Linked DNA regions of Cricetulus griseus. The protein of the gene in region 4 purifies or fractionates together with the protein of the main gene of each other region. This does not show direct contact. Links are inferred from orthologs where the notes say so. Each region holds a gene or a part of one and is shown on either strand. Other genes may lie near its edges.

Region 1 (3,500 bases), on a different chromosome or scaffold from region 4:
AGACAATAAGACAAAACTAAACATGGAAATACATCTGCAATTTGAAATCAGTCTGTGAAATTATTGCACATCCCTTCCTTGCTTTGTATTTATTTCCCATCTCTTCCTTGTTTTGTGTTTATTTCCACACTTTAGCTGTTATTTGCCTGCATGTATGTCTGTGAAGTTGTAAGACTCCTGGAACTGGAGTTACAGGCAGTTGCGAGGTGCTTTGTGGGTGCTCTGAATTGAACACCTGGCCTTTGGAAGAACAGCCAGTGCTTTTAACCACTGAGCCATCTCTCCAGCCCCCTAGTGGTTTTTAATTCTTAGATATGAATGAAGCCTTTTCACCTGTGTTAAAGGAACAAGTGTTAAAAGCAGAGACATATTGTTAACATGGTACTTTTGTTTTTTTTAACATTAATCTACCTACAGTGTTGAGAAAATTATCTTTCTGTTAACAGTCTGTAGAAACATAGAAAAGTGTTCTGCATTAACAGTATTTACTATTTTCCTTTGAAGAATGCCATTGTTATTTGAGAACAGAAAAAGATGCCATTTAAACCAATTTCAGAGATGGTAAAATATGAATAAAAAAAAAGCAAAAGGGTGGTGGATGTAGCTCAACCTAGGTAAGATTTTTACTTAGGCTGAAGACCAGGGGTCTTCACGTGACCATTCCCTCCCAAATAGAATTTTAATGCAATGAATTAATTTAATCATGTTTGACAAAGAGATAGCATTTTTTTAGATGAGCAGACGAATTTTATTTGTCTTATACCTTAGTGGAATCAAAATGGTTCCCATGGCTAGTTAAGTAGTTTGCTTTTGTTGGGTTTTCTGGGCTAGAAAGCTAGGGTAGGGTTGGGTTGATTTGGAAAATTAATAATTTTTTTTTGTGGGGGAGAGTATGTCTCTTGCTTTTGTTTTTTGTTTTTATAGAGACAGGATTTCTTTGTACCAGCCCTGGCTGTCCTGAACACACTCTGTAGAGCAGGCTGGCTTTGAACTCACAGAGATCTGCCTGCCTCTCTGCTGGGATTAAAGGCATGTACCACCACCACCTGGCTTTTGCTTCTTTAAAAGATAATTGCTGTTAGTAAAAGTTTGTATTTTTCATGTTTTATTTAAAGAGTAGCTTATTAAACACAAATTAATTGCTAGTTAACCTACTTTTCTGGGATGTTTGTTTAATTTCAGAGGGTCTCACAGATGTCATTTTATATCACCAACCGGATGACAAGAAAAAAAATAGAGGCTTTTGCTTTCTTGAATATGAAGATCACAAAACAGCTGCACAGGCAAGGCGTAGGTTAATGAGTGGTAAAGTCAAAGTCTGGGGAAATGTTGGAACTGTTGAATGGGCTGATCCCATAGAAGATCCTGATCCTGAAGTTATGGCAAAGGTAATTACAGTAAAGTAAAACAATTTTTATTGGGTTAATAAGAGGAGCATAAGAAAAAACTTAGTAAATGAATTGTTTGCATTGTTTTAAATGTTTTTGAAGGTAAAAAGTTTACTAAGCAATTAGTTATACACTAAAAAATGTGAGTGCACGGAAGGTATTCTAGAGCACTTTCTTTTGAATATTTGAGGGTGATGTAATTAATTTTATTTTATTTTTTTATGAGTCATACCCTGTAACAAAACAAAGGAAAAAAATCAAATAAATGAATTATTATTATTTTTTTTTTTTTCAGCAAACAGTTGAGGGTTAACTCTTGAGGTAACTCTTGAGTGCAGTTTGGATATTCTGTCTTGTCTTTTAGGAATCCCTTTAATAGTTAAAAGGTCATGTTTGCTTAAATCTATAGAAGGCAGTTTTAACTATTGGGAGTGCTGACTACTATTGAACAATTATATTTTGAGAAATTTTCAGGAGGAGGGAGTTAGATGTTCCTGGAAATTGAACCCAGGATCTCATGTGTGATGTGTCAGCAAGCTTTTTTATTTTTTAATTTTATTATGTATACAGTGTTCTGTCTGCATGTATGCCTGCAGGTCAGAAGAGAGCACCATTATTGATGGTTGTGAGGCACCATGTGATTTCTGGGAATTGAACTCAGGATCTTTGGAAGAGCAGGCAGTGCTTTTAACTGTTGAGCCATCTGTCCAGCACAACTCCCAGGATGTTACTAGTATTTTAAAGCACTTTATCCAACATTTCAAAAGCAGTCTTAGGTTTCGATAATCACCATTATAGTATCCCAGAAATTATATTACTGTGCTTTGATTATCTCTATCCCTCAAATCTTGACAGCCCTTCTTCCCTTTTACCATTTCAGAATGTCACATGATTGGTATCATGCCTATATAGATTTCTGAGAGTCCGTGGCAACATTTTAAATGTCCTCTTTTTGTGAATTTTATGTCCTGGCTATCCTGGAAGTCCTTTAGATTCCCCTGCCCCTGCATCCCAGATTCCCCTGCCCCTGCCCCTGCCCCTGCCTCCTGAGTAGTTGGAATGCTGGGATTGAAGGCATGCAACACCACTCCCTGACTTATAGCTAAAAATTCTGCTTTGTTTGTACATTCATATATTGAAGGGATATCTTTTTACTGTTTGGGGGGAGTTATGAATAAAGCTGTTAGAAGCATCTGGATGCAAGTTTTTGTAGGAACATAAAACTTAACAACTCTTCAGTAAATATAAATAGGGAGTAATAACACAAGATTATAAGATAAGAATATGGTTAGTTTTATAAGGAACCGCCTTAAACACAGGGGCTGCATCAGTTTACACCCCAGTTTTTGTGAATGAAAGTTTATTTCTTCCTAATCCTCAGGTTTGAAGCTTTAAAGTGTTGTAATCCCAACATGTTTCTAGGTTGTTTTTGTTTGTTTTCAATACAGAGTTTCTCTGTGTAATAATAGCTCTGGCTGTCCTGGAACTAAGAGATCCTCCTCCCTCTGTCTCCTGTGTTCTGGGGTTTAAGTAAGGTGTGTAGTGTACTTCAGCTTTAGCTTGCTTATCTGTTAATAATTGAACACATTTTTCGTGGTAGAACTTGGTTTGGTAATACCTTTATTATTGTTTCGGTTTTTACTTTTATCAGCAATTTCACTCTTTGGCATTTACCCACAGGAAATTAAAACTATATATACTTACTGGTTGTGTTTCAAGTTAACTTTGTAGGATGGGGTGGTTGCTTTTGGAAATTGAATTCTGGAAAATTTGCTTTTTTATTTCAGGTAAAAGTGCTGTTTGTACGCAACCTTGCCAATACTGTAACAGAAGAAATTTTAGAAAAGTCATTTAGTCAGTTTGGGAAACTGGAACGAGTGAAGAAACTAAAAGATTATGCTTTCATTCATTTTGATGAGCGAGATGGTGCAGTCAAGGTAAAAAAGTGGTAGAAATTTCATAGGCATCTAAAGAGACCAATATTTTATAGTCTTAAAATCCCATGCTTAATAAATTTGATGCAAAGTTCAAGTTATGAAATTTAGTCAAGCAAACCATTTAAGTAAAAATAGCATCGAGGAAGATCTTTAATTATATTGCAACCATGTTTTA
Region 2 (3,708 bases), on a different chromosome or scaffold from region 4:
GGAGATCCTTCTACATCTGCCTTCCAAGTGCTGAGAGTAAAGGCATATGCCACCACCACCCAGGGAAGACACCCTGTCTTAAAAAAAACATTGGAAAAAAAGGGAAGGAGCAAAATCCAAAACAAGACAAAAAAGCCGGGTGGTGGTGGCACATGCCTTAATTAATTAATCCCAGCACTGGGGATTAATTTAATCCTTTCTCAAAAAGGGGGGGGGGCAAGAGATGAAGAAAAGGATAACTGGAGACCAACTTGAGCTAATTACACATAGTGAGTTCAATTGTGGGCTACGGAGCGCCAACCTGTTTCAAAATACACAAATCATTCTTGTTAGAAATCATGACATGAGGTAGCTAAGTGGATAAATGCACTTGTTAAGCAAATCTGGTGCTCTCAGATACCTGGAAAACACAGAAAGGTAGAAAGAGAGAACTGATACAAAGTTGTCTTCTGACCACCACCCCCCCAACATACAATTAGAAGAAAAATGAAACCATGATATTATATGAAGTCAAAATCCACTTTATTATTATTTTTTTAATATGTTAGTTTCCAGTTCTGGCCAGTAGCTTACTTTTCAAATCTCCAAACAGTTCATCATGTTTTCAGAGAGGCAAGGGGTAGTATAGTGATCCAATGTGATCCACTGACAAATGTGTTCAATTCCCCTGTTCCCCCAGGGAGATCCCTGTTCTAGCATCAGATTCAAGCCAGCCAAAGATTAGGCTTGTTAAGGCAAAGGGTCTTTCACTGAAGATGCTAGTCCTGGAAGGCTTCTTCTTCGACGAGCTGCCAGCTCAATTTTCTGAACCAGGCTCACATCCCAGGGATGGGTCACAAAACTGATAATGGTCCCTGGCACTTCACTGCCCACACGACCCACCCTTCCTGCTCTGTGGATATAATCTTGCAGAGTAGGGGGAAAATCATAGTTGACAACCAGTTCCACATGGATACTATCTAGACCTCGTGAGGCTATGTCTGTGCAGATAAGTATGTCTTGGGAGCCCTTTTGGAAACTCTGGAAGATACCTGTTCTCATTGAGGCTGGCATTTGCCCTTGCAGCCTTAGATGTTGGATTTTGTGGTCATCCAGAATATATCCCAACCAGTTCACAGTGCTGGAGCTGTTGCAGAACACCAGGACAGTTCCTGAGGGTTTTGTCTTATTGGCTTTGTCATGCTGTTTGAGGATCTGAACCAGTTCTGTCACCTTCTCGGCTCCCTTTAGTCTCATAAATGTCTGTCTGACATGAGGCATAATGCAGTGGAGCTTGGAGCTTGTGATGGTGGTGAGATAGTCTGGGCTGGTGACTTTACTCAGCAATTGGTTTACGCCTTCTGGAAACGTGGCTCCCACCATCACTAACTGAGCTTTGGGATTAAAGGGGTCTTCTAACTCAGCTGGACTTTCTGCTATAGGGCTCTTTTCCAAGATGTAATCCACAAGTTCCAGGAAGCTTTCATCCAGCAACGTGTCCGCTTCATCCAACACTATGAAGGAAAGAAGCTGTAAGCTGATCAGTTGACTTTTCAGGGCCTTCCACAAAGCCCCTGGAGTGGCCACAAGCACATCTGCTGACGGTTGTCTACACAGCTGCAGTTTGAGCTTGGCCCTGCCGAGGCCTCCTCCGAGCTCTATTACCTGCAGGCCCAAGTACCTACCCAATGACTGGGCCACAGCCCGCACCTGTTCGGCTAATTCTCGGGAAGGTACCAGAACCAAGCCCCGGGGTGCTGCGGAACTGCGGGAATCCGGGTCTGGCCGGCTCAGGAGACGTTGAAACAGGGGCAGTAGGTAGCTGAGAGTCTTCCCACTACCAGTTTCGGCAGCGCAAAGGATGTGGCGGCCGCGAAGCAGTGGGGGGATGGTTTTCGACTGCACTGAGGTTGGCCGAACGACTTCGGGCGCAGCCTCCTGAAGCGCGAGCAGCACTCGGGGTTCCAGACCCAGGTCCACGAAGCTGCCACGGGACGAGAGGTTAGTCAGGGCGGGAGCCTCCTGCTGCACCCGCTCTATGGAAAAATGATCCTTAAGCGATCGCCGATGCCTCCAGCCACGCGAAGCCAGAGGCGCGCACTCCCAGCGACCCAGCGTGAGGCGCGCGGGCTGGTTCAACTCCGGCCGCCGTGCCGAGACCAGCAGCGGACCAGGTCGCACTAGCACCGGCCGTGGGAAACTCCCACGATCGCGCTGTTGCTGCCGTCGCTGCAGAGCCCGCGGAATGCGCACCACTGGCAAGGGCTCGTCGGAACCGCGCACCGCTATGTTCCGTCGTGGTTCCAGAAGCAACCGAACTGCTAGTGATAGCAGCCGAGTAGGCCGCTCTAAAGCCATAGTTCCTTTGATGCAGAGAGGCGCTAGTCAGTGACGTCAAGTACGCGACCGTGGTCTCGAGTACGGTGGCTGGCTCGGCTCAGTGTTGCGTGAGGCGTGTAGCGTGTGGCGCTGCAGCACCGTCCGGAAGGAGGGAGGATCCTCAGAGTTCAGTGGCTGCGAGGTGTGTAGGTTCCCAGGGGGCATGACGACGTCCAGATTGGGATCATCTTTCGGGAAGAGTGCTCGGTGGTGGCAGGAGTGGGGGTCGGCCATAGGAGGAGGCTGTGGGGCCCTGACTGAAGTTATCAGGAGTGAGGATGGCCTCTGTCAATTGGGTGCTTAATTTCTGAGATTCTTATTTGTGGTCTTCATTGCCCATAAAACTCCCCAAGTGTTCGGAGTGCGGCGATGTTTTCATAGATGTGCGCTCTGCTCAAAGCCTGGGTGATACAAGTGTGTAAGAGTCTGAATGACTCTGAATGGGAGTCTGGATCTGGGCGCAAGCCTGTTCTCTAGTTTGGACTCCAGAGTGCATGCCGGTTGCCTGCAGCTTATTTTGTCTCAGTTCGTTTAGGTCCCTGTCTTTCCAGGACCCTCCATTCCCTGTCACCCCTTCTCAAACTGGATTCATCACTCTTTTTGTTTGTTTGTTTGATTTGCTTTTGTTTTCTGAGGCAGGATTTCTCTGTGTAGCTTTGGGGCCTGTCCTGGAATTCGCTCTGTAGATCAGGCTGGTTTTGAACTCATCGAGATTCGCCTGTCTGTGCTGGGATTAAAGGCCTGAGCCACCACTGCCCGGCGGGATTCACCACTCTTGATATTCCATTAACTTCTCAGGCAGATTCTGAGTTGCCTGAATAGAAGTAGTATGAAGGGTCTTGTTATCTTCCTGGCGTGATCAAGCTTATCTCTCACATAGCAGACTACTTGACTTCAATGTAGTGGTTCAGGTTATTTAAACTTTTTTCTTTTTAAGTTTCATACTTGAACACTTCTGGAAAAAACAATGGATGCCAGACTTCTGGAAAAAACAATGAGTGCCTGGAGTGGGAGATAAGGTCAATGTTTGTGGGTTGATTACCTGGGAGGTTCCTAGTATCTGGAGAAAATATTTTAATTACATTAACTAGAGCTGGCCCTTCATATTTCTAGGTGGACATCTGTGGATTTTTCCCACTGTAGAGTGAAAATATTCATGAAAAAATTGTGTCTGTACTAAACATTTATATACGTTTTCCTTTCATGTTACTCCCCAACAATACAGTATAACAACTATTTACGTTGTGTTTATATTGTATTAGTCATTGTAAGTAATTTGCAAATGATTTCAAACATATTGGAGAGGGTTGGGATGTAGCTTAGTGATACTATGCTCGCCTGCTGTCATTT
Region 3 (4,046 bases), on a different chromosome or scaffold from region 4:
TCCAGAAGTTCCACAACAAAAGGAATAATGAGGTAGTGAAGCCATAGACCAAATGATTTCCAAAAGAAGAGATCCTGGCGTGAGTATAGACTCTAGGAAGATTTAAAGGCCCAAGTACAAATGCCAAGTGTTTGACCGCCGCAAAATTCGTTTCCTTTTCTCTGAGACACACCCCCTGACCTGGAAGAAGATGGAGTAGGCGGGAACAACTGAAACAAGTCAAAAAGGCTTCGCTCCTTCCCAAGCTCTTTATTTGACCTTATTCAACAAGCATTTGTTGATGTCTCTGCTGTTAATTAAGGAACCGAAGTGAATGAGGCCTGAACCTCCCAATCTGCAGGAGAGACAGATGTCGCATGCACAGGCAAACACAACAAGCGCAAGACTGCAGTGGCCCAAGCCCGGAAGTTTCCTCCAGGGATTCAGTTTAAGAGCCGCAGCACCGAGAGGAAAAGAGCCGGCTTCCCCGCAGTTTAGCATCTAATGGGGAGCGCGCATTGCGTCACTTCACCCAATCAGAAACGAGTCCAGAAAAGTAATCCCGCAAAAATGACCCCGCCTTCCCAGCGGACCAACCCGGAAAAAAAAAAAATTCCCGGCCACTTCTCCAATAGGAAAAAAAGCCGCACGATATCAGATGTCCAATCACAGCAACAGACTACGATTCAAGATGGCCAATGAGAGAGGCTAAGGGCGGGGTCGGAGCTTCTGTTGCTGGGTAGAAGTTTAAGCACAGAAAAAGACCCGGGCATTGCTCGCTCTCGCTGGAAAACCCTTTGCCTACGAGCTACGAAAACAACTGCTCTGCGCCAGGCAGCCCTCCGGCTTGTCTCGGTTGATGACTTTCAGAAGACGCAGTGAAAGAATACGGAAGAGACGACATCAAGTAAGACCTAGGGTGCCCCGGCGAGTGGGAGCGAGCAGGAAGTAAGAGTACTGACAGGGTGGGCGGGGCTCCGGCGCGACTGCGCAGAGCCTACAACCGAAGGACCGAACGAGGGGCACACACACGCTTCCGTGCTACGAGGCACTTGAGCCGCAGCCAGCCTTGCCGGAGCAGGTTCCTTGCGGCTGCGCAGTCATGAGGCCTCCGCTGATTGGCCGGGGCCTCTGAGGGGAGGGAGGGAAGGAGAAGTGAGGGAACTCGGTCGTCCTCAGCGCGCGCTCGCCCGCCAGCCCGCCTGCCCGCCCGTCCGCGGCCGAGAGCCGACTTTCTATCACTTGTTTGGGGCTCAGTGAGCCGCAAGGGGCAGGGCCGAAGGAGGGCGACACAAACACGCCGCTGTAACCGCGCGGCTCCTGCCGCCGCCTGCGTGCGCTTACGAGCGCGAGTACAGTGCTGGCGCGGGAGGCGGAGGCGGGCGGCGGCGGCGCCTGCGCGGTCGGGCTCGGTCGACAGTTCGCAGGGGAGGAGGCGGCGGGAGGCGGAGGAGGCGGCGGCGGCGATGGAGGTGAAGCGGCTGAAAGTGACCGAGCTGCGGTCGGAGCTGCAGCGGCGGGGCCTGGATTCGCGCGGCCTCAAGATGGATCTGGCGCAGCGGCTTCAGGAGGCTCTGGATGCTGAGATGCTGGAGGACGAGGCCGGCGTTGGCGGCGCCGGGCCCGGCGGGGCCTGCAAGGCGGAGCCTCGGCCTGTGGCCGCGTCGGGCGGAGGCCCGGGCGGGGACGACGACGAGGAGGACGACGAGGAGGAGGAGGACGAGGAGGCGCTGCTTGAGGACGAAGACGAGGAGCCACCTCCTGCTCAGGCGTTGGGCCAGGCCGCGCAGCCGCCTCCGGAGCCCCCGGAGGCGTCAGCCATGGAGGCCGAGCCCGAATCTTCCGACGCACCGGCGGAGGCCACGGCTGGGTCAGGTGGGGTAAACGGTGGTGAAGAGCATGACACCGGCAAGGGGGAGGAAGACGGGCCGGAGGAACGCAGCGGGGATGAGACGCCGGGATCCGAGGCACCGGGTGACAAGGCCACAGAAGAACAAGGTGAGGAACTTGCAGCAGAGCCAGGTTCCAACCCAGCCTGGTGCGTCTCTCTGATCCAGCACCCCACCCTGCACCGCGCCATCTGATTCCTTGTTTCCACTTGCCGGAAAGTGCACGGGTTCCGTGGCTGTTTGATGGGATTCCCCAGGGAACGTGGTTTTCATCCACTGCCCATGTTTTTTGAGGGTTTGGGTGCCTTGTTGCTCTCCTGTTTGCAGGAGGGAGGTTTCTGCCTAACGTGGTTTCTTGGTGTTAGTGGATGGAAGTGTGTGGTGTGGCATGCGTGTGTGCCTATGTCTGTGTCTGTGTGTACTTTGGAGCTACCTGTGGATCAGTCTTCTGGTGCTTCCTCTTTAGCTGAATACCTTTAGCAGAAAATGTAGTGAGAAATTGGCGATCTGCAGGTACCAGTTAGACGCTTAGGGCTTCGACCTATCTGACAGTTAATTTCTTACAGTGAGAATGTTAAGCAGTAAACACTCTGTGATGTGTTTTTCTGTCAAACTCCCGTTAGAGCTTAAGCCTTACAGAGACTGGGTAGCTAACCTTGCTCCTTCCTGCTTGGCGGTAGTAGACGGTGTCTAGTATGAGCCTATTGCGTTTAATCATTAACTAGCAAAGAAAAAGTCTTAGTAACTTTTAGTAGCATGTTAGTTGCTTGAATGAGGCTTTTTTACCTTGTCCCTCTTGTTTTTATATCTTAATTCTCCTTCCAAGTCAGTAAATGGGCGTATGTTTAGACTTACTCTACACCGGTGCCTTTAAGGCTCTTGACTTCCTGAGCTGAAATGGTTGAGGGGTTTCTAGTGGGTCAGTTGAGTAACCTTGTGGTAGAAAATGTGTAGAGACTTCCCCTGGGAGTTAATGACCTTTCTCCTTTCTTTTGAAATGCTTGCCTGGTTAGAGCTAATCCATAGTGTCTGACTGTCAGGGGAAGGAGAGCTGCTTCCAAGTCTTACTTCCAAGGGGATTGCCTTAAGTTTTTTATATCTTTTTTTTTTTGTTTTTTTTTTTAAGGCTGTTAGTGTCATGTAGTTGGAATCTATTTTACAATGATTGAATACAAAGTATAGTGTTTGGGGGGGTTGTTGTGTCTTATGTCCTGGAACAAAATTCCTATTACATAACCATTAACTTGTGTGTATCCTAAATAGCAGATAAAAAGCATTCACAGATAAGAGAGTACTTTAGAGGAATTGTTGAAGAAGACTTTTTAAGCTTCAAAACAAAAGCCTAAGGGAAAAAGAAAACGCTATGTGTTACTCCTTGTAAAGAATGCTGCTGTCAGGCTTAGTGGCACATGCATTCAGTCCCAGCACTTGGGAAGCAGAAGCAGGCAGATCTCTAAGTTGAGGCCATCCTGGTCTACATTGTGAGTTCTAGGACAGCCAGAGTTACATAGTGAGACCCTGTCTAGAAAAAAAAAGAAAAGAAAAGAAAAAAAGAATGTTGCTAAATATCCACCACCACCTTCCTGCCCCAAATTCCATGAAGTGAAGCTTTGGTGTTATTTATGGTTCACTTGTGACTTACTGATTTGCACTGGTAGCTTTCAATTAAAATACCTGTTAAAAATTCAGCTGCCATTGTGTGGCTGTGCATTTTAATGCAGAAAAGTAGTCTCTTAAAGAAAATATAAGCCTTCTGTTCCATATAGCTGTTGAAAGGCATTAGAAAATAGTCATTAAGTACTTGCCATAAATACAAATCTGATGAGAATTGAAATTCACCTGTGAAGGTTTTCAAACAACTTCAGGGATATTTTCCTTTCTTATTAGTGGGGAGATCTGCCATGTTGGCTTGAATGAAGTAGATAAATTTAGAATGGAAAAATTGCCCAACTTTTTCTATTTCTTGACTGTATTTAGCTCACTGTGCCCCTCACCTTAACCAATGAAAAGATAATTGGAAATAAACCATTACATACATACATGCATACATACATACATACATACATACATACTAGGAACACTTTGAATCAGATACCCTCAATTTCCCATATTGGTTAACTCAGATTCTCTTAGTTCTGAGCTTATTCTCTGCTCCAGTATAAAAACTGCTGATTTTCT
Region 4 (4,147 bases):
GCCATTTCAACCTAAAACTTTAATTAAATGTTTTCCTTTAAGAATTTTCAAAAACTAAAGCCTCCCTCCCTAAGTTCTTCAAAATATCAAGTGAAGGGATCTAAAAGAGCAAGAAAAATGCCAAACTAGAGGGGAACAAGAAAACATGCTTTCGTTAAGGTGATGTAGGGAATGATTGCCTCCACTATAGGAGTCATTGTAGATAAAATATGCACCCCTACAATTCCCTCTGAAGGCAAGATGCCTCTCTTTCAAGGAATCTCTCCATTTACTTGATCCAGGTTTGGTCCATGGATTTAACCTCCCGACTCCCGCGCTCCCCACTGGAGTCCAGCCTCTGCCGCTTGGAGAAGGCCGGCCTATCGCGCGCTTGGAGCTCATTGGCTCTGAGAGACGCCACTCGGGCGGGAAAAGCCCGCCTCCCGCATTCGGATGGCCCAAGGGCCGATCCGTAGGCAGCTATAGGAAGACCCAATTGGCCTATACACTCGTCAGTCAAACGCTCTGGTAGCGCAGCCCAAAAGGACCTGGCAGAATTAAAACATCCCGCCCCCGTTCTCCCATTGGCTGGCCCGACCCATCGCGGCCCCTTCACTGTCGCTCCCCCAAGTCCAGCGGGGCCCATTCATTTCGTACAATAACGAGTCCAATTGGAGCGGGTCCAGGAACTCCCACGGTTAGTCAAGACTCTGCCACTTACCCGGGATCTACAGTGACCACTCACACTAAGGCCTGCGCGGTTCCTCTGTGGTAAAGCTGCACCACAAGCCACCCGCTACCGCCGCCTTCTGCGCAACGCCAGCCGCCCGCCAAAACGGATCCTTTCCCTGCGCCTGCGCAACCAATCCTGGGCCCAGACCTTTTCTCCGCCCAAAACGCCTGCGCAAAGCAGGACGCAGCTCCCGCCAGTACGCAGGCGCCTTAGGTTCACCGCCCTCTCCCGCCCGCCGCCCGCCATTTCACGTGTTCAGTAGGCGAGCGGAACTCCTTAGTGCGCCGGCGTAAACTCGCCATTTTTATTACACATGCGCTCTCCGGGCAGTGGCTGCAAAAGTGGTAGCGAACTACTTTTCCTAACGTGTCGTGTTTTGCCAAGTGAGGTTATAATGTTCGGACGCTGGGAAGTTATGCAAGGCGTTTAAAGACATGGGTACATTCAAATATAAACCACTGGTTAGCTAGTCAATCAACCTGGTTAAAAAAAAAATCCCCCAGAGCGTCGATGACTCCGAAGGGCGGAGACTGCGTAGAACGCCCCAGCAGATGCCATCTCTTAGCAGGGCGGATCCACAGACCTAGAGTGGGCGGGAACAATTCCAGATCTCCAATCAGAGTAAGGCCAGGGCGGAGTCTACCAATGCCGAAAGCGAGGAGGCGGGATAAAAAGGCGAGCCGAAGGTAGGCTGGCGGATACGTTCGTTGACTTACTCCTTTCTGCCTGTTGACGCGGCGGAGGAAGCATCGCTGAAGGCTCTCGTTTCCCTGCCGTCATGTCTAAGTCGGAGGTGAGTTGTGCGCGCTCTGCGGCTTCGTTTCCTTCCATACGCAATGAACAGGACGGGATGCGACCTATTTTTCTGGCTGGCACCCATGCTTTCGGTGTTTGATCGGTCGTTGCCGAGGCCTGCTCACAAAGTGCAGGTCGCCATTTTGTCCTCGTAGTCGCCATGAGGCTGCCGTCCGCTAACCGCTAGTTTCCACACTCGGCTCCTAGTGGCAGAATTCACAGATATGCGACCTTGGGGGTTGTGGCTCTTTTTATTTTCTTTCTTGGCTTTGCCTAACTAACGTCTGCTAAGGCTTCAGTAAGTTTTAATGGCGATTGACCAGTCCAGCCCGTGTCTTTTGTTGCGCGTGCGTATAGAGTAGGGACGCATGCGCTGCATGCTAGTCCTCCCCCCCACGCCCCAACAGCACCTCCTGGCCCAGAGAGGAGCACGTGGTCTTGTGCTGTAATAAAGAACAATAAAAAAGTGCGGCCTATGTTGATGCGTGGAGTTGATCCATTCGCTCAAGTTCCAGCCCCTTAGCTAACGGCTCTCCTTTGATCCGATTCAGTCACCCAAGGAGCCGGAACAGCTGCGGAAGCTCTTCATTGGAGGGCTGAGCTTCGAAACAACCGACGAGAGTCTGAGAAGCCATTTTGAGCAATGGGGAACACTCACCGACTGTGTGGTAAGATTAGAAGGAACAAAAGGCGGGGCTGGTTTAATTTTATTGCTTTAATCATGCCGCACTTCTTACCCAGATGCTTTGTGAAGGTAATTAATGGTATAATTTTAAAAGGATCTTTGTTTGGGGGCCTTATGCTTGAGTCTAAATGGAGTTTTATGCTGGACATGTTCAGAGTTGGAATGGCCTCAGGTCCTGATATCAGGCAATATGTTGATTGAATTAACTCTATAAACAGGTAATGAGAGATCCAAATACGAAGCGATCCAGGGGCTTTGGTTTTGTCACGTACGCTACTGTGGAAGAAGTAGATGCCGCTATGAATGCAAGGCCACACAAGGTGGATGGCAGAGTTGTGGAACCTAAGAGAGCTGTTTCAAGAGAAGTGAGTGTTATTATGCTAATAGTTGGGTTCTCTTTTATCTAGACGCCAGATAGACCCCTAGAGTGCTGGGATTAAAGGCGTGGGCCACCACAGCTGCCAATCATTTGAAATGTACTAATAATGACTGCATCATTTTCCTTTTAGGATTCTCAAAGACCAGGGGCCCACTTAACTGTGAAAAAGATCTTTGTTGGTGGTATTAAAGAGGACACTGAAGAACATCACCTTCGTGATTATTTTGAGCAGTATGGGAAGATTGAAGTGATTGAAATCATGACGGACAGAGGCAGTGGGAAAAAAAGAGGGTTTGCTTTTGTCACCTTTGATGACCATGACTCTGTGGACAAGATTGTTAGTAAGTGTCAGATAATTAGATTTCTCTCCTCCTCCTCCCTCCCCCACAAACTGGGAATATTCTGTAGCTTTGGGTCCTTTCCTGGAAATGAGACCCGCCCTCAAACTCAGATGGCCTGTCTCTGCCTCCTGAATGCTGGGATTTATGGGGTGTTCCACCCCCCAGCCAGATTACATTTTTCTTTTGGGTGGATTCGAGACAGGGTTTCTCTGGCTTTAAAGGCTGTCCTGGAACTAGCTCATGTAGACCAGGCTGGTCTGAAGCTCAGAGATCTGCCTGCCTCTGCCTCCTGAGTGCTGGGATTAAAGGCGTGGGCCACCAACACCCATCGTGCTCAGATTTCTTAATGACTGGGACTCAGTGTGTTTAAAGCCCTAAAGTTAACTTTTTTTTTTTAAGTTCAGAAATACCATACTGTGAATGGCCACAACTGTGAAGTGAGAAAAGCCCTGTCAAAGCAAGAGATGGCCAGTGCTTCATCCAGCCAAAGAGGTATCTCTTGCTTAGTTAGAACTTGCAGAGGGTAGTTGGGTTGTTGCTGCAAGTTGGTCTAATGTAATGATCCAAACATCTCTTAAGGTCGAAGTGGTTCCGGAAACTTTGGTGGTGGTCGTGGAGGTGGTTTTGGCGGCAATGACAACTTTGGTCGAGGGGGAAACTTCAGTGGTCGAGGTGTGTACCTTTTGGATTTCTTAATTGCTTTTGGAACGATGGATAACTGCTAGTCTTTGTTTATAGCATTTAGATTTTACCCAAAACATAAGTTTTCGTTACACAGAGATTAGCATTTGCTTCATTCATATACCTAAAGCTCTGGTTTCTTACAGGTGGCTTCGGTGGTAGCCGTGGTGGTGGTGGATATGGTGGCAGTGGGGATGGCTATAATGGATTTGGTAATGACGGTAAGTTTCTTAAGGAATCCGTAAGTAAAATTTCTAGCAACCTATACCTTTAGACTAGGCTAGTAGACACTAAACCTAGTGCATGACAAAATCAACCAGCCCCGTAATACGCATGCTGTGAGCAGGCCATTAGTCATTACACTTGCATAGATTTTTATTGTTAAATACTTTTGTCTTATTGAGAAGGCTTGTATTCTTGTAGGTGGTTATGGAGGAGGCGGCCCTGGTTACTCTGGAGGAAGCAGAGGCTATGGAAGTGGTGGACAGGGTTATGGAAACCAGGGCAGTGGCTATGGCGGGAGTGGCAGCTATGACAGCTATAACAACGGAGGA
Region 5 (4,157 bases), on a different chromosome or scaffold from region 4:
AGCAAGACTTTTGTCTGAAAAAACAAACATAAAAATGGTAAGTGGGGGGGCTGGAGAGATGGCTCAGTGGTTAAGAGCACTGACTGCTCTTCCAACGGACCGTCAATTCCCAGCACCCATATGATATGGCAGGTCACAACTGTCTGTAACTCCAGTTCCAGGGGATCTGACACTCTCGATACATGCAGGCAAAATACCAATGTACACAATATAAATAAATATTTTAAAAAATGGGAAAGGGGGTTTTACATTAAGAAAATTGGTGGGCAATTAGGTACAAGGATTGAACTCCACTGTGTCTTTTTTGAAGTGCTGAGGATGGAACCTAGGGCCTTAGACGTGCTTAGTCTTTACCACTGAGCGGCTCCAGTCTCCCATTCCACTAAAAAAGCAAAACACGCCCCCACCCGGGGCGGGGGCCGAGATGGCTCAGCTGGTAAAGGCACCCGCAGAGGCCTGACCCTGAGTTCTACCTGACCACCGCAGTTCCAGCCCTATACACATAAGAGAGTGGAATAAGAGAGTTGTTCTCTGACCTCCACACATAGGCTGGAGAGGGTACATGCATAACATAGGCACACACAAGCAATAAAAATATGATTGCAAATGTGTAAGAGATATGTAGGTAAGCATACACACTGGGCAGGAGTTGGTATCACAAACACCTTTGTTCTCGTTGATAAGTAAGAAATATACCGGAAAGTATCTATACCACCCCTCAGCTCAGTCTGTCTTACTAGGTAGTTCAGGCTGGTCTGGAACTCACAGTCCTCTAATTTGTTGTCCTGCCTCCAGAGCTCTGGGATTGCAGGCATGCGTTACCACCCCAGCTGAGCCTCTATCTTCATGCATGTTCACAAAACACCCATACCCGAGACTAATCAGAATCCAAATCAGCACGCGCGGGACGTGAGCAGCATGCCCGGAGTTATGCTTATTTAATTATACCAACGTTTTGAAGTAGATCATATCATTATTCCCATTTTACACGTGAGGGGACAGAAGGCCAGAGAGGTCGGAAGGCTAAGTACTGTTCAAACCACCTCTTGAACATGAACTTGCTGTCTCCGATTCAAAGCCCAGGCTCTAGGAAAGAAACAAACTCTCAAAGTTTAGAACACGAGACAGCTCAGAGGGCTTCTCCTCGTACGGAAACTTCCCACCCTGGGGGCAACTGGAACCACAGGAAACCTGGTGTGCGCGCCTCTGCCGGGCCTGCGCGCTCCTGACCTCAGCGAAGTCGCCCAGCCAGCCCCGCGGCCCGCTGCGCGGCCTCCCGACACACGAGGGCGCTGTCGCAGCCCGGTGGGAGCGAGCCGCTGACTCGTGTCGCGAGATTGAGAAAGCCGGAAGGGCGAAAGAGCAAGGGTCACGTAGACAGCGCTCCCCGCCCAGCTCGCGTAAGTTCTCGCGCGGGTACTACTTCCGCCCTTTTGGCTCTCTCAGCAGCACCATGGCGGTCGGCAAGAATAAGCGCCTGACGAAAGGCGGCAAGAAGGGCGCCAAGAAGAAAGTGTAAGTGGCGCATTTTGCGGATCCCCGCTCTTTGGGTCCCACAGGAGTTGGCGGGCTGGTTCTGGGCTGCAGCGTGGGGCGGATGGTGAGGATGCGGGGCGGATTGCGCGGCGACGCCGCTGGCCGGTGCGCTCCAGACGGCCGCCTCTTCCCCGGCCGGGCCGGGCGTCGCGCCCGCGTGTGAGCCGGGCTTTCGTCACGTGTAGCGATCTGTGGGCTCTGGGTGACTTAATGGTCCTGGGCACTTTTAATGTCCCTTCTACATCTGGGCTCGGCAGTCGCTGGCTCCTGCGCTGGGGCCTCGTGGACCCTGCCTGGGAGCTCCCGACACTTGCTGACCGGTCCGTGCTGTCACGGAATAGTTAATGTCACAGGACCTCCAGGTTCCGAGATAGTCTGAAATGCCGCCTGTGGGGTGGAGGAGCGGGAAAGGCATGGTTTCCAGCTTACCGGTTTGTCCTGTTGACAGGCACGCCGGCCTTAGGCTCATCACGGTGAGGGGCGTCATTTTGTATTAAAGACAAGCCGGTTTAAGATTTTTTTTTTGCCGGGGACATTGTCAGCGGAAGTAAGGACGAGGAAAGTTTAAGAGTTGGCAGTGGCAGTCTTGGGATTTATTACAAAGAAGCTTGAGTCTGTTTCTCTCAAATCTAGGGTTGATCCATTTTCGAAGAAAGACTGGTATGACGTGAAAGCGCCTGCGATGTTCAATATTAGAAACATTGGGAAAACACTAGTCACGAGGACTCAAGGAACCAGTGAGTACCAATACTTGTTTTGCTTTGTCCTTAAGCTGTTGCGTGTGTATTTTAACAGGCACCTGGGCCTGCTATTTTTTTTTGTTCTGTGATGGGAAAATCTGCCCAGTGCTTGCAGATTTGGCATTTGCGGTGTGTTTGTAGCAGCAAGGAGGTGTTTTTAGAGTTAGCCAAGAAAATGTTTGGTTGGGTATTGCTGGTAAGTCATTGATGTCCAAGTGGGTTTTTGAAACAATTTAATGGGTTCTTTGGTTCTTTCGTAGAAATTGCATCTGATGGCCTCAAGGGTCGTGTGTTTGAAGTGAGCCTTGCTGATCTGCAGAATGACGAAGTTGCATTTAGAAAATTCAAGCTAATTACTGAGGATGTTCAGGGCAAAAACTGTCTGACTAACTTCCATGGCATGGATCTTACCCGGGACAAGATGTGCTCCATGGTCAAAAAGTGGCAGGTGAGACCCCCCAGACTGCATTTGAGCATGTGCAAAGATGTCATGGTGCCGGGATGGGAAGGATCAAAACATGAAATGGAGTTAGATTTTATTTCAACCCTTTGTTTTCTTGGTGTTACACATTGCCGTAAGGTTTATATACATCGGTAAAACATGACATGAAAATTGTTTTCACTTGAAGAGTGAACAATTTTATTTTCCCACTGTGTTTATATATTGTTTAGCTAGCTTCTAGAGATAAAACTGCAATCAGTTTGGTCTTTCACCCACTTCTCTGAGTTCCTTCTGAACTCCCCTGCCCTCATGGATGACAAAGTTTTAACGTGTGGCCAAGGTGCTGTTTATTCTTTGGTGCTAGAGGTAGAACCCACCGGTTTCCACATGGGCTGTCACTCTTAAACTGAGCTGTAGCCTCTTGCCAAGTGTTTTACTGATAGAAGGACGATAGGCAAGGCGGGCAGCTTTGCCAGTTGAGAGTATATTTATGGTGAAAAGGTGGCTCTAACTAATTTGACTGTCTCTGACAGTGGTGTATAACAGTGACAGGACATTGTTGTGGGGCTAAAGTCATTCAGTCTCCATATTTTGTCTTTGGAAAGTAACAAGCTTAGCAGCTCGATTCTTCATTTGTAAAATCAGCTCGTTGAGTTGTGAAGATGAAATAGCTGATGCAGGTAATTGAGCTTCAGCACAGGGTAACCATGTCATTTCAGGAGATATTATTCCGATGTATCCAGGTAACAGTATTGGCATATTACAATATGGGAATGAATGATGACAAAATGTTTCGGTCCCAAATGAAACATCCTGATTTTACCGTTACATGTTTTTCTGACATTCCCTTACAGATTATGCAATTCTGGAAGTAAAAAGTTGTTTAATACATGCAATAAATAACTTTTGCAGTGGAAGTCAAGTTTTTTTTTTTTTTTTTTTTTTTTTGGAGGCAGGGTCTTACTAGGCTGCCCAGGCTGGCCTCAAACTCACAAAGATCCACCTGTTTCTGCCCCCCTGAGTGCTACAACTGAAGATGTGTGCCACCACTCATGGCAGATACTGGGTATATTTTAAAAGTCAAGGTACATAATTTATAAAATGCAAAGAGATTAAATCATTTTGCCACTAAAATGGCCCTTTAAAAGATGGAAATGTGGCCCAATTATGGTTTTTATTTAGATTTATCTGTAGGGTTATATATTTAAATCCTTGGCATGGCTTTAGTTTGGATTTAAAGGGATTTAAAATGCTCTTATGGCAGAACTTTTTTCCTTTGGAGAAAGGATCCCTAGCCTCTTAGGTATGGTGCTTGCTATGTAGACCAAGCTGGCCTTGAACTTGTGATTTGCCTTTGTATTCTAAGCAAAGGAATTGTAGATAACGTGTCATTGTGTTACTGGAGTTTTTATTTCTTCAGACTGGCATGGAACTTGTTA
Region 6 (3,500 bases), on a different chromosome or scaffold from region 4:
ATGTACAGATCCCTGACGACATATTAGGTATGGTGGTATATACCTGTAATCCAAGCACAACTGGAGACCCAGGCAGGAAGATAAGTTTAATGTTAGCATCAGCTACATAGCAAGTTCAGGCCAGCCTATGATACAATAGACCCAGTATCAAAAAAATAACACAACAGAACAACAAGGTAATGAGAACTTGAATTAGGTTCTTCCTATTTATATTTGGACTTGAACATCTGAAGGAGTTAAAAGCCAGTGTTGCAAGCTGGGTGTTAACGTCTGTGAAATGGAGTAGATGGAAAAACAGAATCAAATGCACAATTTTGGGTGGGGGATGAGGGATGCGTGAGTATATTTATGTGTGTACACCATGCACAGGTGTAGTACTGGTTCCAGTGGAGGCTGAAGAGGGAGTCGGATTCCTTGGAACTGAATTCATAGGTGGTTGTGACCCCTATGTGGGTATTCCAAATTGAACCTGGGCCCTCTATAAGTCCAACAAGTGCTTTTAACTGCTGAGCCATCTCTCAAGGCCCCCCTCCTTTTTGGGGGCGCCAAGGTTTCTCTATAGCCTGGGTTGTTCTGCCTGGAACTCTCTGGAGATCAGGCTGACCTTGAACTCATGGAGATCTGTGTCCTCTGGAGTGCTGGGATTAAAGGCGTGGACCACCACCACACCTGATTTCCAGTCCCTATTATTATTTTTTAAGTGATTTTATTTATGTGCATAGTGTTTTGCCTGCATTTGTGTCTGTGTGAGGGTTTCAGATCCTCTGGAACTGGAGTTACAGACTATTGTGAGCTGCCATGTAGATGCCGGAAATTGGACCTAGGTACTCTGGAAGAGCAGTCAGTGCTCTTAACCACTGAGCCATCTCCTCAGCCCTATTTTTTTTTTTTTAAATATTTTATTATGTATACGACATTCTGCTTCCATGTATATCTGCACATTAGAAGAGGGCACCAGATCTCATTACAGATGGTTGTGAGCCACCATGTGGTTGCTGGGAATTGAACTCAGCATCTCTGGAAGAGCCGTCAGTGCTCTTAACCTCTGAGCCATCTCTCCAGCCCATCTCAGCCCTATTTTTATTTATTTAGTTTTTTTTTTTTTTTTTTTTTTTTTTGGTTTTGTGAGACAGGGTTTCTCTGTGTAACAGCTCTGGCTGTCCTGGAACTAGCTTTGTAGACCAGGCTGGCCTTAAACTCACAAAGATCAGTCTGCCTCTGCCTCTGCCTCCCAAATGCCTGCATTAAAGATGTATGCCACTATCACTTGGCCTAATTTTAGCCGGGAGATGGCAGCACATGCCTTTAATTCCAGCACTCGGGAGGCAGAGGCAGGCGGATCTCTGAGTTCAAGGCCAACCTGGTCTACAGAGTGAGTGCCAAGACAATCAGGACTACACAGAGGAAAAATGGTGTCTCAAAAAAACAAGTAGTAGTAGTAAGTGTTTTTATTACATTTGTCATCACATGTACACCACAACAAATGTGTGGAGATCAGAGGACAACTTGCAGGATTTGGTTCTCTGTGTGGGTCCCAGAAACTGATAACCCAGGGCCTTTATTGTCAAACCATCTCACTGGGTCTTGTTTATATATTTTTGAGACCAGGTCTCAGGTAGCCCAGGCTGGTGCTGAACTGTTGATTCTCCTGCCTCTGTCTTCAACGTGCTGAGATTATAAGTATATAACAATTTTTTTTTTCTTTTGAGAATCAGAAAAAATCTGTATATTATTTTTGGTAAATAACAAGTTTAATTTCTGGTTTAGTGTGAAATGGCTTTTCCTCGGGTCAAGCCCGCACCTGATGAAACGTCCTTCAGTGAAGCCTTGCTGAAGAGGAATCAGGACCTTGCCCCCAATTCTGCAGAGCAGGTATGTTCTTTCCTGAGTCTGTGCTAAGGCCTAAAGCATTAAGAGCTGGGCTGGAGAGATGGCTTAGAGATTAAGAGCACTTGCTACTCTTCCAGAGGACCTGGGTTCAGTTGCCAGCACCCACACGACAGCTCACAGCTGTCTTGTAAGTCCAGTTCCAGAAGATCTGATATCATCACATAAACATACATGCAGGCAAAACACCAATGTGCCTGTGAAATACAATTACAAAAAAAAAAAAAAAAAGAGCTAATAAAATGTTGTGTTGCTAGGATTGTAAGCCAGTGGTAGACCGCTTACCTAGCACTCTTGAGGGCTAGGGTTTCATTCCTATCAAGAGTGTTTTCAGAGCTCAAATTCCTCCTGTGTTTAATTATTCATTCCCCCTTCTTACTGTAGGTGGAGAGTCTAGTGATGATACAGATTAAAAATGTTGTTTTGTGTACTTTTTGGCCTTAGGGTATTTTTGCTTTGTGATGTTTTCAGGCTTCTATCCTTTCTTTGGTGACAAAAATAAACAATGTGATTGACAACTTGATTGTGGCTCCAGGGACATTTGAAGTGGTGAGTTTTTGATGAATTAATCCTAAGTAAGGGCACCCTTGGTGGTATGGAAATTTTCTTGTCCTTTGCCTGTCAAATTTCCAGTTGTCTGTTATCCAAATCAAAGCCCCAAATGGAAAAGTACAGGGACATTCTGGAACTCTTCATCCTGAGGATGAGATTTGTATCACTGGTCTAGTCATATGTGGTTGTTTGGGGGATGGGATTTTGTCGTGGCTGCTTCTAAATCTGGGTAGTAAGAAGCTGCTGAAATAGTTCTACCTTTGTTTCTCTAAATGTCCCTAAAATCCCCTTTTCAACAGCAAATTGAAGAAGTCCGACAGGTTGGATCATATAAAAAGGGGACGATGACGACAGGACACAATGTAGCTGACTTGGTGGTGATACTAAAGATCCTGCCAACATGTGAGTGTGTGTGTGTGTGTGCGCGCGCGCGCGCGCGCATCTGGTCTTTCTCTGTCGGGGTGGATCGTGGTGTTGGGCATGTTAGCCTGTCATGGGACGCCTGAGAGCACAGGATCCCTCAGAAGGTTTGAGTTTTCTCTGAGTATCTATGCAGTGGCAAGAGCAGATGGGCTTATAAAAACAGTTAGGTCTGTGTAAGTCAGAATTTAGTAGAGTTCTCAGCCCACCCTTCTTGGTATAGATTTACTTTATCTTTTTTTTATAGATTTGTTATGTATATAGTACTCTGCCTTCATGTATGCCTGCAGGCCAGAAAAGGGCACCAGATCCCATTACAGATGGTTGTGAGCCACCATGTGGTTGCTGGGAATTGAACTCAGGACCTCTGGAAGAGCAGCCAGTGCTCCTAACCACTCAGCCATCTTTCCAGCCCTTTATTTTATTTCTATTAGTGTTATGCTTGTATGAGTGTTATACATTCCATGTACATGCCTGAAGAGGGCTTTGGATCCCTTGGAACTGGAATTATACATGGTATGACCCACCAAATGGCTGTTGGGAACTGAACCCAGGTCTTCTACAAGAGGAAAAAGTACTCTTAACCTCTAAGCCTCCAGCCTACTTTCCTAAACATTGAGGTTAGATTTGGGGCTAATAAT
Region 7 (2,543 bases), on a different chromosome or scaffold from region 4:
ATTCTGGGAGTGGTGACCTGATAATCTTTCATTTTTAATAAAATTTCTGTTTTCACGCTTCCCCTCCAACAGTATTTGCTGCCTGCCATTGTCCACATAAATCATCAGCCATTCCTAGAGAGGGGTGATGGGCCTATTGTAAGTATTTCTTAACTTTTTTGGTCCTTAACACTAAAAATTTTTAGACTACATAATCCCACTCAGTTTGCCAGAACTGGTTTGACTTTAGTTCCTTTTTCAAGTTACTAATGTCCAAGAACAATAAGCAAGGACGGATTTCAATCCCTACAACCTACACGTAGAGAACCAATCAGAAGTTCTGCTTTCCACATGTTCTCCCACATGCAAAAAAGTCTCTCTATCCTGAGCATAGTGGTTCATGCTTAATAGTCAGTGATCACTACTATAATCTCAGGCAGAAACTAGAGGATCTGGGAGTTGGAGGCCAGCTTCAATGACAGAAAGCCTTGTCTTAAATAAATCCAATTCCCAGCATGCACCCCACCTCACCTCCAAAAAAAACACAGCACCATAGTATACTGTTGTGTACTAAAAGCTGGGGTTTTTTGCAATTTTTTTTTCCTTAGTGCTTGGTGCTGGCACCAACACGGGAACTGGCCCAGCAAGTGCAGCAAGTTGCTGCTGAATACTGTAGAGCCTGTCGCTTGAAGTCTACCTGCATCTATGGGGGTGCTCCCAAGGGACCACAGATTCGTGATTTGGAAAGAGGTACATGATCATAAAGGGGGCTCCTTGTTACTGGTGGAATGAAAGGTTTACATGTTATAGTTACATTTGCTCCTTTAATTAAAGGTGTGGAAATCTGTATTGCAACACCTGGAAGACTGATTGACTTTTTAGAGTGTGGGAAAACCAACCTGAGAAGAACAACTTACCTTGTCCTCGATGAAGCTGATAGAATGCTTGATATGGGATTTGAACCCCAAATACGGAAAATTGTGGATCAAATAAGAGTGTGTATCCTTATGTTCTTAGTAAAGATCAGTTCTAAGTTTACTCTTAGGGTTCCAGTCTTAATTTATTTCCCAAAATTTTTTAGCCTGATAGGCAAACCCTAATGTGGAGTGCAACTTGGCCAAAAGAAGTAAGACAGCTTGCTGAAGATTTCCTGAAAGACTATATTCATATCAATATTGGTGCACTAGAACTGAGTGCAAACCATAACATTCTTCAGATTGTGGATGTGTGTCATGATGTAGAAAAGGATGAAAAGTAAGTTTAAATCTTAGCAATTTGAGAAGATCTTGAATTGTACAAGAGTAATTAGTTTTGAAAGTTGTCTTAAAATGAAATTTAGTATGGTATAGGTTCTTTTTAAAATGTGTTTGTGGATATATATATAGCTTGGTGATAAACCACTTGCCTGCCTGGCTGGCTTAAGAAAAAAGCTATATGAGTTTGAGCCTGGCCACTTCACAAGCACACGAAGTGGTATGCCAGTCTTTATGAAAATCTGTGTTGTGCTTGCCTAGTATTTAACCTTACTTCCTGTAAGGAAAGGACAGCCACGTGTCATAAGCTTTTACAGAAGTGGTTTAGTGGGTGTGTTGTTTTGACTTCCGTTGATACGTTTCACTAAGCACATTTCTTTTTTCTTTTCTCTTTAGGCTTATTCGTCTAATGGAAGAGATCATGAGTGAGAAGGAGAATAAAACCATTGTTTTTGTTGAAACCAAAAGAAGATGTGATGAACTTACCAGAAAAATGAGGAGAGATGGGTATGTGGTTTCCTGCCTCATGGTACTTTGATCAAAAGAGAGTTTTGTGGGGATCATCTATTCTACAATATAAGTAGAATTATACAAATTGATTTCAATGACAGTGTAGTGGTAACAGCTCAGGGATATAATGCTCAGTGGGAGAGCACTTGACTAAGATGAAGTACTATAGGGTTAGATTAAATATTGGTAGATTTCTGCCTTTGGGTTTCAAATGTAAGAGAGCTAATATAACTTGTTAATACAGGTGGCCTGCCATGGGCATCCACGGTGACAAGAGTCAACAGGAACGTGACTGGGTTCTAAATGGTGTGTATTTCAAATAAGATGAAGTTTGTTTATAACCTGATAACATTTGCTTGGATTAATGATCATTTATGTGTATGTCTTTGTAGAATTCAAACACGGAAAAGCTCCTATTCTGATTGCTACCGATGTGGCCTCCAGAGGGCTAGGTTAGTACAAACTCGAATTCATGGCTTGGTTTCCCAGAAGATCTCCATGTAGTTTTTTTTAAAGAAAGTTTATTGCTTTCTTTAACCTCTGCATTTTTTCTAAGTTTTTTTCACATAAAGGTGCAGTCTTTGTGGCAAGGCCTAGGCATGACAATCGGAGGACTCGAGGGGGATGGAGGACTAGTGATCGGCTGGCTGCTTCCAGTCGATTAGAGAGGTGAAAAGCTGAAAGTGTGCCAGTAATCTTCAAAGGGCAGAACATACCACCTCTGCCCCATAAACTGTTCTCTCCGGGGGAAAAAAATGGAAGTTACCTCACAGTTCACTGCCGTGGTATTTCATCTGTCCC

The links.
Region 1: the proteins of Hnrnpa1 (region 4) and Syncrip purify together in Homo sapiens (affinity purification with mass spectrometry; 5 studies listed by BioGRID and IntAct, with this or other methods). This does not show direct contact. The link is inferred for Cricetulus griseus from reciprocal best matches to the Homo sapiens genes HNRNPA1 and SYNCRIP.
Region 2: the proteins of Hnrnpa1 (region 4) and Ddx28 purify together in Homo sapiens (affinity purification with mass spectrometry; 3 studies listed by BioGRID and IntAct, with this or other methods). This does not show direct contact. The link is inferred for Cricetulus griseus from reciprocal best matches to the Homo sapiens genes HNRNPA1 and DDX28.
Region 3: the proteins of Hnrnpa1 (region 4) and Hnrnpul2 purify together in Homo sapiens (affinity purification with mass spectrometry; 3 studies listed by BioGRID and IntAct, with this or other methods). This does not show direct contact. The link is inferred for Cricetulus griseus from reciprocal best matches to the Homo sapiens genes HNRNPA1 and HNRNPUL2.
Region 5: the proteins of Hnrnpa1 (region 4) and Rps3a purify together in Homo sapiens (affinity purification with mass spectrometry; 3 studies listed by BioGRID and IntAct, counting the BioPlex papers as one, with this or other methods). This does not show direct contact. The link is inferred for Cricetulus griseus from reciprocal best matches to the Homo sapiens genes HNRNPA1 and RPS3A.
Region 6: the proteins of Hnrnpa1 (region 4) and Ilf2 purify together in Homo sapiens (affinity purification with mass spectrometry; 4 studies listed by BioGRID and IntAct, with this or other methods). This does not show direct contact. The link is inferred for Cricetulus griseus from reciprocal best matches to the Homo sapiens genes HNRNPA1 and ILF2.
Region 7: the proteins of Hnrnpa1 (region 4) and Ddx5 purify together in Homo sapiens (affinity purification with mass spectrometry; 4 studies listed by BioGRID and IntAct, with this or other methods). This does not show direct contact. The link is inferred for Cricetulus griseus from reciprocal best matches to the Homo sapiens genes HNRNPA1 and DDX5.

Annotation. Positions count from the first base shown.
Region 1 is NC_048597.1:198,378,426-198,381,925, reverse strand, and holds part of Syncrip (heterogeneous nuclear ribonucleoprotein Q), read left to right. Parts: intron 1-1,182; coding exon 1,183-1,388; intron 1,389-3,175; coding exon 3,176-3,325; intron 3,326-3,500. UniProt on the Homo sapiens protein: Heterogenous nuclear ribonucleoprotein (hnRNP) implicated in mRNA processing mechanisms. Component of the CRD-mediated complex that promotes MYC mRNA stability.
Region 2 is NC_048596.1:182,307,713-182,311,420, forward strand, and holds Ddx28 (probable ATP-dependent RNA helicase DDX28), read right to left. Parts: upstream 2,372-3,708; 5' UTR 2,338-2,371; coding exon 730-2,337; 3' UTR 501-729; downstream 1-500. UniProt on the Homo sapiens protein: Plays an essential role in facilitating the proper assembly of the mitochondrial large ribosomal subunit and its helicase activity is essential for this function. May be involved in RNA processing or transport. Has RNA and Mg(2+)-dependent ATPase activity.
Region 3 is NC_048596.1:51,268,683-51,272,728, reverse strand, and holds the start of Hnrnpul2 (heterogeneous nuclear ribonucleoprotein U-like protein 2), read left to right. Parts: upstream 1-1,246; 5' UTR 1,247-1,445; coding exon 1,446-1,977; intron 1,978-4,046.
Region 4 is NC_048595.1:399,611,774-399,615,920, forward strand, and holds the start of Hnrnpa1 (heterogeneous nuclear ribonucleoprotein A1), read left to right. Parts: upstream 1-1,347; 5' UTR 1,348-1,490; coding exon 1,491-1,505; intron 1,506-2,058; coding exon 2,059-2,175; intron 2,176-2,410; coding exon 2,411-2,557; intron 2,558-2,701; coding exon 2,702-2,912; intron 2,913-3,311; coding exon 3,312-3,404; intron 3,405-3,491; coding exon 3,492-3,584; intron 3,585-3,739; coding exon 3,740-3,814; intron 3,815-4,016; coding exon 4,017-4,147. UniProt on the Homo sapiens protein: Involved in the packaging of pre-mRNA into hnRNP particles, transport of poly(A) mRNA from the nucleus to the cytoplasm and modulation of splice site selection.
Region 5 is NW_023276806.1:68,278,007-68,282,163, forward strand, and holds the start of Rps3a (40S ribosomal protein S3a), read left to right. Parts: upstream 1-1,357; 5' UTR 1,358-1,453; coding exon 1,454-1,515; intron 1,516-2,169; coding exon 2,170-2,273; intron 2,274-2,536; coding exon 2,537-2,724; intron 2,725-3,490; exon of another isoform or gene 3,491-3,563; intron 3,564-4,157.
Region 6 is NW_023276806.1:64,071,091-64,074,590, reverse strand, and holds part of Ilf2 (interleukin enhancer-binding factor 2), read left to right. Parts: intron 1-1,767; coding exon 1,768-1,872; intron 1,873-2,358; coding exon 2,359-2,436; intron 2,437-2,738; coding exon 2,739-2,841; intron 2,842-3,500. UniProt on the Homo sapiens protein: Chromatin-interacting protein that forms a stable heterodimer with interleukin enhancer-binding factor 3/ILF3 and plays a role in several biological processes including transcription, innate immunity or cell growth.
Region 7 is NC_048600.1:119,729,527-119,732,069, reverse strand, and holds part of Ddx5 (probable ATP-dependent RNA helicase DDX5), read left to right. Parts: intron 1-72; coding exon 73-138; intron 139-587; coding exon 588-729; intron 730-813; coding exon 814-974; intron 975-1,060; coding exon 1,061-1,233; intron 1,234-1,628; coding exon 1,629-1,739; intron 1,740-1,986; coding exon 1,987-2,048; intron 2,049-2,134; coding exon 2,135-2,194; intron 2,195-2,298; coding exon of another isoform or gene 2,299-2,312; exon of another isoform or gene 2,313-2,543. UniProt on the Homo sapiens protein: Involved in the alternative regulation of pre-mRNA splicing; its RNA helicase activity is necessary for increasing tau exon 10 inclusion and occurs in a RBM4-dependent manner. Binds to the tau pre-mRNA in the stem-loop region downstream of exon 10.